3 linked regions of the Xenopus tropicalis genome follow. The protein of the gene in region 3 purifies or fractionates together with the protein of the main gene of each other region. This does not show direct contact. Links are inferred from orthologs where the notes say so. Each region holds a gene or a part of one and is shown on either strand. Other genes may lie near its edges.

What was found. Proteins that work in one complex are often made in the same cells at the same time.
Region 1: the proteins of psma4 (region 3) and psme4 purify together in Homo sapiens (affinity purification with mass spectrometry; 4 studies listed by BioGRID and IntAct, with this or other methods). This does not show direct contact. The link is inferred for Xenopus tropicalis from reciprocal best matches to the Homo sapiens genes PSMA4 and PSME4.
Region 2: the proteins of psma4 (region 3) and psme2 purify together in Homo sapiens (affinity purification with western blotting; 3 studies listed by BioGRID, with this or other methods). This does not show direct contact. The link is inferred for Xenopus tropicalis from reciprocal best matches to the Homo sapiens genes PSMA4 and PSME2.

The regions. Positions count from the first base shown.
Region 1 is NC_030681.2:23,696,024-23,700,322, reverse strand, and holds the start of psme4 (proteasome activator complex subunit 4), read left to right. Parts: upstream 1-1,423; 5' UTR 1,424-1,577; coding exon 1,578-1,780; intron 1,781-4,299. UniProt on the Homo sapiens protein: Associated component of the proteasome that specifically recognizes acetylated histones and promotes ATP- and ubiquitin-independent degradation of core histones during spermatogenesis and DNA damage response.
Region 2 is NC_030677.2:139,414,534-139,418,976, forward strand, and holds the start of psme2 (proteasome activator complex subunit 2), read left to right. Parts: upstream 1-1,567; 5' UTR 1,568-1,645; coding exon 1,646-1,693; intron 1,694-3,942; coding exon 3,943-3,975; intron 3,976-4,443. UniProt on the Homo sapiens protein: Implicated in immunoproteasome assembly and required for efficient antigen processing. The PA28 activator complex enhances the generation of class I binding peptides by altering the cleavage pattern of the proteasome.
Region 3 is NC_030680.2:86,380,549-86,384,791, reverse strand, and holds the start of psma4 (proteasome subunit alpha type-4), read right to left. Parts: upstream 2,871-4,243; 5' UTR 2,770-2,870; intron 2,698-2,769; exon of another isoform or gene 2,569-2,697; intron 211-2,568; 5' UTR 183-210; coding exon 180-182; intron 31-179; coding exon 1-30. UniProt on the Homo sapiens protein: Component of the 20S core proteasome complex involved in the proteolytic degradation of most intracellular proteins. This complex plays numerous essential roles within the cell by associating with different regulatory particles.

The sequences.
Region 1 (4,299 bases), on a different chromosome or scaffold from region 3:
ATGGCCAGCTTAACATTATCTTGCATTATGTGCAACTAGACCTGCAGTACCACATTGAACCTGCTGCCAGCAGCACATCCCTTCCCATGGAGAGCAAGAGAACTGTCAGAACATCTGGGGACCCTCACAACTTTCCTTTTGATATAGACACGCTTACAGCACCAATGATTTGTAGAAGGCTGAGATAAAATCTTGGAAGGGGGGCCTAGCAAGGCCTTAATTAGTGACCAATTTCAAAATATCTTGATAGCATAGCTCAACAATTTTACCAACATTTTTGGGCCTTAAAGGACAAGGAAAGGCTAAAGCTGGCCATACACGTGGCGATCTGACGATGTTTCATGCGACCATCGGCCGCACGAAACATCGTCAGATCCGCCACACACAGTCAGGGCTGAAACAGCAGATAAGGAGGTAGAAACAATAGGATTTCTACCTCCTTCTGCCGATTCAGCCCTGACGGCAGATTTTGGTCAGGCACCTTGAATTTGCTGTAGGGCCCAGCAAATTAGTCGCCACTGCAGGCAACTAATCTCCTAGTGTGCCATCACCATTAGAATTTACCTTCAAGGCCAATGGCACATGGTGAGACTCCCAGCAGGGCTGGAACTAGGGATAGGCACGTAACTAGGGTGCAACAGTGGGGGGCACTAGTCATGTACCTCTTTATTTGCCTATGCCCAGTCCAGGCCCTACCCCCCCCGCGTGCATGCCCATTATCTCCTTCCCCCCGGCTTCAGTGCAGCCTTAAGCGCATTTGCTCGTGCATATATGCACACATGGTGCTGTTCCAGGGATTTAGCCAGCAGCCCCCCTGACTTCTATCTGTGCTGATGGAACAGCAAATAACTGGGAATAGTCTTGCCTTTGATGGTAAACATTTGTACTCAGCTGTTTCCCTCACATATCTAGCATTTCTAAGGGATTCCCATTAAATCCTATGGAAGGAAACATAGACATAACCAGTCATACATGCACACACTCCCAGAGTGAGAGAGTGAGGCACTGGCCAATAATCTATTTTATATACACGTATTATTCCTGAAATTATGAGTGGCCCTAAACTTATTTTGCTGAGGGGCCCATTTACTTGCAATTAAGTCATATACACCAATTATAATTTCTTCCAAGGGCACAATAGATGCATGCCAATATCTGAGTAAGGAAGATGCTACTGAAGTTACAGGTGCTGGGCCCTATGTGGAGGGCTTACATACACAACACATGCAGCCTGGGAGATGCGCAGAGTTGTAGCTGGGAGGGAGCTGCAGGCTGGACCTCACTTATAAGGAATATAAAAACTAAGTAAAGAGCCATAATCTCCATTCCCCAACACACCGCATTCCTCACAGGAATCCCTAATCTCAGCACTGGGAACGAAACAAAGTCCGCCAACGCCAGCCTGTCCCGCTCGCTAACTAGAGCCCGCCCATTAGTGACACAGGCTCTTAGAGAGGGGCGGAAGTGACGCGCTGAGGCAGTCACGGTGACGCGTTCGCCCTGTCTTTGGTTGCTTCGTCACCGGCAGCCTGAGAGAGAGAGTTGGGGAGAGAACCGGAGAGTAAACGGACAAGGAGATGGGAGCGGCAGAGGACAGGGCCGAGGAGCTGGGATTTACCCCCCAAAAGGAAATCGTGTACAACTTACTACTTCCCTACGCAAATCGGCTGGACCGGGAATCCAATGAGCTCCTGGCGCAAATCAAGGGCAGTTTGGGCCGGGCAGTGCAGCTTCGGGAACTCTGGCCGGGAGTGCTTTTCTGGACTCGGAAACTCACTACGTGAGTCTCACTGCTGGTATTATACTCACTGAGTGAGTGTCTGTGAGTGAGCGCTTGTGTCACTCAGTGAGTGAGTGTCTGTGAGCTGTGAGTGAGCGCTTGTGTCACTCAGTGAGTGAGTGTCTGTGAGCTGTGAGTGAGCGCTTGTGTCACTCAGTGAGTGAGTGTCTGTGAGCTGTGAGTGAGCCCTTGTGTCACTCAGTGAGTGAGTGTCTGTGAGCTGTGAGTGAGCGCTTGTGTCACTCAGTGAGTGAGTGTCTGTGAGCTGTGAGTGAGCGCTTGTGTCACTCAGTGAGTGAGTGTCTGTGAGCTGTGAGTGAGCGCTTGTGTCACTCAGTGAGTGAGTGTCTGTGCTGGGGCTGTGAGTGTGCGCTTGTGTCACTCAGTGAGTGAGTGTCTGTGCTGGAGCTGTGAGTGTGCGCTTGTGTCACTCAGTGAGTGAGTGTCTGTGCTGGAGCTGTGAGTGAGCCCTTGTGTCACTCAGTGAGTGAGTGTCTGTGAGCTGTGAGTGAGCGCTTGTGTCACTCAGTGAGTGAGTGTCTGTGCTGGGGCTGTGAGTGAGCGCTTGTGTCACTCAGTGAGTGAGTGTCTGTGCTGGAGCTGTGAGTGAGCGCTTGTGTCACTCAGTGAGTGAGTGTCTGTGCTGGAGCTGTCAGTGAGTGCTTGTGTCACTCAGTGAGTGAGTGTCTGTGCTGGAGTTGTGAGTGAGCGCTTGTGTCACTCAGTGAGTGAGTGTCTGTGAGCTGTGAGTGAGCGCTTGTATCACTCAGTGAGTGAGTGTCTGTGAGCTGTGAGTGAGCGCTTGTATCACTCAGTGAGTGAGTGTCTGTGAGCTGTGAGTGAGCGCTTGTGTCACTCAGTGAGTGAGTGTCTGTGCTGGAGCTGTGAGTGAGCGCTTGTGTCACTCAGTGAGTGAGTGTCTGTGAGCTGTGAGTGAGCGCTTGTGTCACTCAGTGAGTGAGTGTCTGTGAGCTGTGAGTGAGCGCTTGTGTAACTCAGTGAGTGAGTGTCTGTGCTGGGGCTGTGAGTGAGCGCTTGTGTCACTCAGTGAGTGAGTGTCTGTGCTGGGGCTGTGAGTGAGCGCTTGTGTCACTCTGTGAGTGAGTGTCTGTGCTGGAGCTGTGAGTGAGTGTCTGTGCTGGAGCTGTGAGTGAGCGCTTGTGTCACTCAGTGAGTGAGTGTCTGTGCTGGAGCTGTAAGTGAGTGCTTGTGTCACTCAGTGAGTGAGTGTCTGTGCTGGAGCTGTGAGTGAGCGCTTGTGTCACTCAGTGAGTGAGTGTCTGTGCTGGGGCTGTGAGTGTGCGCTTGTGTCACTCAGTGAGTGAGTGTCTGTGCTGGAGCTGTGAGTGAGCCCTTGTGTCACTCAGTGAGTGAGTGTCTGTGCTGGAGCTGTGAGTGAGCCCTTGTGTCACTCAGTGAGTGAGTGTCTGTGAGCTGTGAGTGAGCGCTTGTGTCACTCAGTGAGTGAGTGTCTGTGAGCTGTGAGTGAGCGCTTGTGTCACTCAGTGAGTGAGTGTCTGTGAGCTGCGAGTGAGCGCTTGTGTCACTCAGTGAGTGAGTGTCTGTGCTGGAGCTGTGAGTGAGCGCTTGTGTCACTCAGTGAGTGAGTGTCTGTGCTGGAGCTGTGAGTGAGCGCTTGTGTCACTCAGTGAGTGAGTGTCTGTGCTGGAGCTGTGAGTGAGCGCTTGTGTCACTCAGTGATTGAGTGTCTGTGCTGGGGCTGTGAGTGAGCGCTTGTGTCACTCAGTGAGTGAGTGTGTGGCTGGGGCTGTGAGTGAGCGCTTGTGTCACTCAGTGAGTGAGTGTCTGTGCTGGAGCTGTGAGTGAGCGCTTGTGTCACTCAGTGAGTGAGTGTGTGGCTGGGGCTGTGAGTGAGCGCTTGTGTCACTCTGAGTGAGTGTGTGGCTGGGGCTGTGAGTGAGCACTTGTGTCACTCAGTGAGTGAGTGTGTGGCTGGGGCTGTGAGTGAGCGCTTGTGTCACTCAGTGAGTGAGTGTGTGGCTGGGGCTGTGAGTGAGCACTTGTGTCACTCAGTGAGTGAGTGTGTGGCTGAGGCTGTGCTCTTTCACTGGGGCTCACTCGTAATGAAGGTGTGCTGGGGTCACTTTTGAGTGGGTGAGTGCTGGCGCTTGTGGCCCTGGGAGAGTGAGCGGGCGCTTGTGGCCCTGGGAGAGTGAGCGGGCGCTTGTGCCCCTGGGAGAGTGAGCGGGCGCTTGTGCCCCTGGGAGAGTGAGCGGGCGCTTGTGCCCCTGGGAGAGTGAGCGGGCGCTTGTGCCCCTGGGAGTGTGAGCGGGCGCTTGTGCCCCTGGGAGTGTGAGCGGGCGCTTGTGCCCCTGGGAGTGTGAGCGGGCGCTTGTGCCCCTGGGAGTGTGAGCGGGCGCTTGTGCCGCTGTGAGAGTGAGCGGGCGCTTGTGCCCCTGGGAGAGATGTAAGTGCACCATGATGTAGTGAGTGTGAGTTTATGCGCGTTGCAATAGTAGGCACAGGTGTTAGCCAGCGTGAGTACCACTGGTATGTGT
Region 2 (4,443 bases), on a different chromosome or scaffold from region 3:
TTGCAACCTCTTTCTCTAAGTGCTACAATGTTTAGTGCTGTCTTAATGTGCCACTTACTCTTTATGTCCTGCCAGGTGGGATTTCTACCAGCTTTGTCAGACTGCAAGGCCCGCTAGTGATAGGACCCTTCTCATGCAGTCAAGCTGTTATGACCTCTAACCCTTCCTTCACTTACTGTGTCATTTCCCTCTTAAGGGCAAGGGTACACTAAGCGGATTGTCCACTTTCCTACACATGCATTATCTGCAGGCAGAGGAAAGTGGATCCACTGTTAAGTGCATACCCCCGTAGCTCCATTGACAGGCCCAGATAGAGTGTAGCCAAAATCATGCAGTATTCCATGTTTCATAGGGAATCATTTATGCATCGTTCGTGCTTAAAAGAGAAGGAAAGGCTACATCACACAGACAGCATAGGGCAGGTATGGTATGGCACATAGGCAGCATAGGGTTGGGAGGGTATGGAACACACCGGCAGCTAAGGGCAGGCCGAGTATGGCACACACAGGCAGCATAGGGCAGGCTGAGTATGGCCCACAGAGGCAGCATAGGGCAGGCAGAGTATGGCACACACAGGCAGCATAAGGGAGGCAGAGTGCTGCATGTGTGTGCCATACTCTGCCTGCCCTATGCTGCCTGTGAGAGGTGAACCTGGGAGGGATTTGTTCTGGGAGTTTGTTAGTAGTTGGAAACAGCCATTAAATGGTCCCTAAGGTGTGTAATTATGTTGCTGGGGGTTGCTGTGATATCCACAGGGGAGGAGGAGGCATATGGATTTCTGAGTGTGTCTTAATATGACATAATATAATTCTTTCATATATGAATAACTGTTGATATCCCCACAGTGAGGACCAAGCATTTTGGTTTTTGCTGCACTACCACCATTGTGATAAAATGGGTGTGGTTTGAAGTGGTAAATTTAATATATTTTTAGTGGTTTTTTATACTTAAACAACTTTTACTATTTTGTGAAGGCCTCTTTGAGCCCATATATTCACATTGTATTGTAAACTTGAATCTGTCAAAAAAAATATTGAGAAAAAAAACTGTCCAACTGACAGCTCAGTTGGGGTTATGTATGGGGGTATCATCTAACCTGGAACTGCATAGCAACCATTTCTGCATTATGTTCTGATTAGGTGGATCAATGTAATTCAGCTGTCCCCATGTATGGCCAAATTGTACTAATATCCAACATGATCATACATTATATTACCAATAACCTTGGGTGCACTGCACCCAGCTCCTATTTTACTCCATAGTAGACCATGTTTAGGCAGCAAAAAAAAATAACAGAAATAATAATCAAGGTAGTTAAACACTTTACAAAGTAATTAGAGTTATAATATATTCTTTCACTTTAGATTGCTGAGGCCATAGGTTTAAAATAAACAAGCTATTAAGTCATATCAACATCACGTTATTCACAAAATAAAATTATATCGCAATGCATCTGCCAATGTGCAGTTTATAAGCTGATGGAAATTCCCTTTTATTGCCACTAACCCCTCCCCTCTCTACTGTATAAAGCAGCAGCTAAAGTAAAACTGAAAGTAACAGAGTGATAGAGGCCCAACACAGACACAGCAAAACAGTAAGGGAAGCTGAGGCCGAGGAAGGTGAAAGACCCTCTTTAACTACAGTTATGGCTAAAGTGATTCGTCTGAAAATTTCCCAGGACAACCAGGAGAAGGTAAGTGTGTATGTCATGGTTTATATTATTAGATCTGTAAAGCTAGTACAGCAGGCCTTTTTAAGGGTACCCTGTCGATATATAAAAGCTTTTAACCTATTACTGCAAATGTGGCATATACAAAAAAACAATACGAAGGTAGTAAGAAGGAAGAAGGTTCTAAAGTTGGGTTGTGATGTCACAACTATGTGTGGGAATTTCACAGTACTGGAATTGGACTCTGAGGTTCACTTGCACTAATGTATAAATGTGTGTATATACAAAGTCACTAAAATTTTAAAAGGAGCATTTGCTTTTTTGCTTCTCATTATTTTTTAATAGAAAATTTCCTGTAACTAGGAACACTTTAGAAAAGAAGCTGCAGCACTGAGGTGCAAAACTGAAAGTGAACAAAAAAGTGGCCAATAAAAGACCTTCTATTTCTGCATAATATATATAGATATATAAAATAACATTTTTAAATATGATTTGCATTGAAAGTTGCTCTTCCTTAAAGCTGAGTGCCAAGGATCAAAAAATATAATACATACAACAAAGGTGGCCCGTACTCCAATATACATGCATCTTAAAGGAGCCGAAACATTGGTAAAAATTATGGAATATAATAAGGCGCAATGTATGGAACACGCAAACCTTTGGTTGCTAGGGTTTGCAGCCTCTGTACATTTTCTTACAATACAATTTCATTTTTAAAATGAACTACCTATTTAATATTAATGCCAAATACAATTTTATTTTTAAAAGAACCCTTGAGCCACAGTACTTGGCTGGATACAGGTGATACTTTTGTTTCCACAAATTGAAGTGTGGGCTCCATCAGCCCGCAGCTGTAGTGTAGTAGGAAACATTCTATCTTATGAGATAGTTGCCCTTAATACCAAAAATTCTCTTTACACATTGTATTACAAAAATACATTTTGTTCCACAAAGACAGCTTATTTGATTGCTGTAAAACTTGTGTTAGTAAATTACACATGCAGATAAATTGTCTTAACATTTACTCATTAAATATTTTGCTGAACCCAGAGCTAGGTAGCCTCTTGATGGCAGACCCCGGGATGCACAAAAGCCCAGAAATTAGCCAGCTTTCCTTGTTGTCGTTTCTATAAATATCTTGTAGTTGGAAACAAGCCTTGTCCTTGCTTGCACAGATTCAAAATTACTGTTGCAAAAGAATCATGTTACAACTGAACAAATAGACACATATATAGATATCTGATAGGACCTCCCACTAGTTACGTAAATAAGTTGTAATATAAAAAAAAGGTTTCTGAATATGGACCATTAGATATCATTGACCACACAAATATCGAGCAAATATGAAGATATAAAAGCATGTAATTGATTAAAAAATTTATTTTGCCTGATTTTTCTTCTGTTTCAGAGATCACATTTTTCTTTATCAGTTGCATTTTGTAAAACAATATATGAATTTAGTCAAAATGAGTCTGCTATTTGAGTAATGTGAAATAAACAATCAATCCAAGATGGTGGAAAAACTTGCAGAGTCATCAGCACAAATGAGTAAAAAGAGAAAACCTTTTCACACGATTAAGCAGAGAAAAAATATCTGCATCTCTGTAACTAGAGGTCCCTCTGCTGTCTATTTTGTAAAAATACACTTATTCATGTAGTAGGTGTGCTTATAGTTCTATACATACAGAAAATGTAAGGTTAGGTGATAGGTGCCTAACTCCTCAGTTTAAGGGTTAAGAACTGCTACAGTTCAATTACTTGTATGTGTGGAGAGTTACTAATGTTTACACACCTCTTCCCAATCTACTTCCAATCCAGAGCACTGATTTAAGCATAAGAGTGCCAATGTAACCCTTATTCTAAAACTGTAATTTAATGGTTTTGGCTACAAGTTGGCTACTGTGTTACAGAAGACTACACTATACAATAGTCAATATTTCACCCAAATCTGCCACAGTGCAAGGACCATGTGCATTTCAGAGTATTATTAAATTATGTAATAAAGTCTTTTGGGGAAGCACCATTCCTCTAGATCCTGTATACTTCACAAATCACTTCACCATCCCAAAACCTAGGCATGCCTACTTAACATATGGTGTTTGGCACAAATGTTTGTGACCATCACTGTACCAACTAATATTAAAAGCAGCAAAGAAAAAGTTGCAGTATATATTAGTCTGGGCTATGGCTCTCAGGATACACTCCCTAGATCTGAGGACATTTTTGTATGTTTACAAAAAATGTTCAAAAATCCATTCTCTTTCTTCTTACAGGTTAATGGGTTCCGTGAAGCGCTATTCAGTCAGGTAATTTTTTTTTTTTATTCTTCTTTAATATCTTGTCACTGTCAAGATAAAGTCACATCTTTCATTTAAAAGCATGTACAGAACAATATAAAAATGCTTTGTAAACTTACATAGGATTCTTGTGTGATGAATGCAGCATTGCTGCAATAGTGATCTTCTTAAAAAAAATTAGTGCACCAATATCAGCGACTTTGATCTGGTAAACCAGACAATCCCTACCTAAGTACATTCCTGCATTACAATAGAACGATATGCCAGATGGGTGAAAAAATAAATACATACATACATCATTCAACATTATTTTTTCACATTTACAATATTTCACCAATATATTAGGCAGCCCCAAGTAAATATAGTTATTTTTAGAAAAACAATGAATTGGCATGGAAAAACCAACAGAACACCTGTAGTGCTCAACCCTCACATATGTGTAGTAGATTCAATTTAGAAAACTTTACTGTGCAAGCT
Region 3 (4,243 bases):
AATAGTAGTTCTGGAATCATATCTTCGAGACTAAAAAAAAAAAAAATATATAAAATATAACTCAGGACTTTTGCATGTTACACAGAGAGTACAAACCATGAATTAATCCCATTCAGATTAACTGCATTTATACAAGTATACACATTGTATAAAACAGGAAAAAAAAAAAAAAGACTTACCATGTTGTATGATATTCACTTGTTTGATACTCTGCAAGACATACAAAATGACACCAGATTACTAGGAAAATAATAATAATAATTATTATATAATAGTAAGGAAGTCATAAGTACATACAGCTTTGGCACCTGTTATCAAGAATGCCCAGGACTACTAAAAAAATCATTTAAATATTGAATAAACACAGCAGGACATTTTTGGCTCAAATACGGATTAATAATATCTTAGTTGGGATCAAGAACAATGCACAGATATATTTTTACTAAGAAAATCATTTTTAAAAGAATTATTTGATTAAAATGGAGTCTATGACAGATGTCCATTTTGTAATTTGGAGCTTTTCTGGATAGCGGATTATTGGATAAGGTATCCAAGTACATTACATATGGTACTCTTATGTATGTACAGAAATATAATCCCATGTAAACTTTACGTGTAAATATGCTGATGGCATTATTAAAGGTCAACAGACACAAAGGGGGCCGATTCAAGTCCGAATTAAGAGTACGATTTGCGAAAATTCGCATTAAATAAAAAAATTTCTGCATTAACTTTGCCAAAAGTCGTGTTGTGTTTGTACGAAAATATTGCGGTACTATCTGATAGTCACGAAATTTTCATATCCGAACGATAGTAAATGGCGCGAAAACCTTTCTGACTTCTGAACCTTCAGTGCATGATTTTGGAAGCCTCCCATAGGACTCAATGGCACTCTGCAGCTCCAACCTGGCCCAAGGAAAGTCACGATACGGAAACGTGAATAAATCCGAAACTTTCGTACTCGGTGCAACAATACGATTTTGTCAAACATATTATCGAAAAATACGAAAAAGTCGCGGAAAATACACACAGTTCTAAAAGTTAGAAAAAATACAAATTTTTCCTATTCATAACCAATCGTACATTGGTAAATGGGCCCCTAAGTGGCATATCATTAATGGAAATGTTTTGTAGAGCAAAAACTATAGTAAACTATACTACATTAGGATAAGAATTTAAATTACATGCAGATTTACTTATTTTTTACTTATTTTGCCTAACACTGGAATTTTTTTGAACTGCCCACTCATCTTGTTTGCAAGTACCTTCCTCATTCAAATGAGCAAGTTTGCTTTGGAGAGTCAGGATTTGGACAGGTTTTATAATGTAAATGTGTTGAGCATAACAAACCAATAGAACAGAATAGTCCAGCCTAGTGCGTTTTTAAGGAAAGAGGAGTGCAGCCCCAAAGTCAGAAGTAAGCAATCACTGGAGGGGGTGGGGGCATAAAAATTGGCACCCTGCAGTGATCAACCCCTTTAGGGCTCTGGCACACGAGGAGATTTGTCGCCTGCATTTTTTCCCCCTGGCGCTTTGGCGACAAGTCATCCACGACAATACCCACGAAGAGATTTCATGCGAGTTGAGCTCCAGGCGATCTGCTACCCATGGTACACTCAACAGTTACCCCTCCCTCATGTATACTTAGGTTGCTCAGAAAAGGGTCTGTGTGCGATTTGAAACAGCAGGCGATTTGAAGTAGCCTCGTATGTTTTGACGCTGGCGATTTCCATTGATTTAGCATTGGCGACTTGTCGCCAAATCGCTCTTTTAATAATCGCTGGCGACAAATCTCCTCGTGTGCCAGAGCCCTTATTTTCCTTTACAGATAAGCAGATGTCTGTGCTGAAGAGGATTCATATATGCATCTGAAATCTAATTAGAAATCTTGCAAGAACCATACTCATTTATTTATGTGTATTCATTTCCAGTATTTCAGTACCAATTTAGATAACAAATAGTAACAGGATCTGTACCTTTTATGCAGTGAACCTCAATCAGGGGCAACACGTTGCTCACCAACCCCTTGGATGTTGCTCTCAGTGCCCCCAGGTAGTTATTTTTGAATTCCTGACTTGGGGGCAAGTTTTGGTTGAATAAAAACAAGATTTCCTACCAAATAAAGCCCCCTGTAAGCCATTGGTGTGCATAGAGGCTGCCTAATAGCCAATCTTAGCCCTTATTTGGCTCCTCCATGAACTTTTATAATTCTTGTGTTGCTCTCCAAGTCTTTTTATATTTGACTGCGGCTCACGAGTAAGGGTAAAGATACACAGAGCTACTAGTAGCAGCTACTTGTCATGGCTACTAAAATAGACAATGCTGATCATTTACTGATAATTGTCTCTACATGTGTTTTAGGAGAGGCAATTCTCAGTATTGTCTATGGCTGGATATTTTCTGGAGTTTAATACCTGTGAAAAAAAGTAGCTGCTACTAGTAGCTCCATGTGTTTTTACCCTAAGATTGGTTGGGGACCCCTACTTTTACGGTTTCCCAGCAAACACACAATCACAGCTACCTCTAAATAATCTTTCATTCCCATACTTTTTGTTAACTAAAATGCACCTTTTCGGCAATATTCATGCAGCGTCCCCCAGTCCTATTTGGAAGTAAGGACTAATGAAGAAGAAACTGAAAGTAAACGCAGTAAAGGAACATAGGCAATGTGCCCTGTCATCGCTCATTTCATGTCTACATCAGCGACACAAAGTTCCGGAGGGTCCCAAAACAACTGGAGTGAAAGAGGCCTCTATAACGTGCACTCACCGATTATCTTGTCAGTTTTAAAGACAAAAAACGGAGGAATAGGGTTCACCGAGCCGGCAAAATAGCGCAGTCACAGCACGCAAAGCTCCCCAATCATGGCCGCCAGCGCATGCTCAGTGAGTTGTGTTCCTCTGTACGTCACACGGATACGCATTAGCCGCAAAGCGCAGGGCCACTTACTGCCATATTTGATGTGGGCATTGCGCGTGAAAGGTGATTTAAGTTCGCTACAAAAATAATGTTTAGGGAAATGTTATGTTCCTTTGTTTACGTACACATGATACAGGTGAGGAAGTACTCTGTAGATAAATGTGTTTGCTTTGTGGCCAAGGTACATGTACATTACAGCAAAGGTTTATGTGTTCGCCCGCAGTGCGTTCTGCTTGACAGGCCTTCTTTGCTTGAACTGCGACTCCTGCAGCTCTGTTTGGGCAAAATGCGACTTTAAGGTTCTGCGGGGAAAGTGCTGATTTGTTTTACATGGTTTAAATTGTAGACATTTGGAAGGCGTATAATGGCTTTAACATCATGACGCAATATCATCTCTTAGTGAGTTCAACGTGCGCTTTTGTTTTATTGTTTTTTAAATGCATAAAAATCGAGCACGATAATAATAATAGCTGTGCTACTGAATGCGGGTGGGTACAACCAGGCACAATAAAACATGCCTCCCAACTGTCTCGATTTATATAGAACCTCCCGCTGTCCCACAATACAGGTTACATTTCCCGAATTGACCTGATTGGTCCAGTTGTTCCCTACACTCAGATCTTTCAGGCGTCACTCTCTCTAATCGCACTGCTCCTTTCACTTGTAAATCGCTTGAGCTCTGCTCCTGTGATGCCTCTTCCCTCCACATTCAAGGGGAAACTGAGGCTGCAGGAAAGAGATCTGAAATGTGAAGGAAGATTCACATGGTTGAAGGTGGAGGGAGAAATTATAAACACTAGTAATGAGTAATTGGCTTCTGTGAAAATTTTGCAAAACTACAGAAAAATTTGCAAAACGGAGAAACCGCTGGTAACGCACTAATTTTGATGGAAAAAAATTCGCTCATCACTAATAAACACTAAAGCAGGGGTAGGGAACCTATGGCTCGGGAGCCAGATGTGGCTCTTTTGATGGCTGCATCTGGCTCTCTGCCAAATCTTAAATAAAAAAAATAACAGGAGGCGTGGCCTGCGTATGGCGGATAGAAGACGTGTTCTAAGCCTTAGAACACGTCTTCTATCCGCCAAGCGCAGGCCACGCCCTCCTCTGCATCGCATCCAGCATCCGGCATCCTTGGGACCCACCCTACCTTGCCCCACAGCATCCGTGGCCAAACATATTGTATGGCTCTCACGGAATTACATTTTAAAATATGTGGTGTTTATGGCTCTCTCAGCCAAAAAGGTTCCCGACCCCTGCACTAAAGCATACCCCCCAACTGTCCCGCTTTCTGCAGCGCATCCCGCTGTCCCGGATAGTTCAA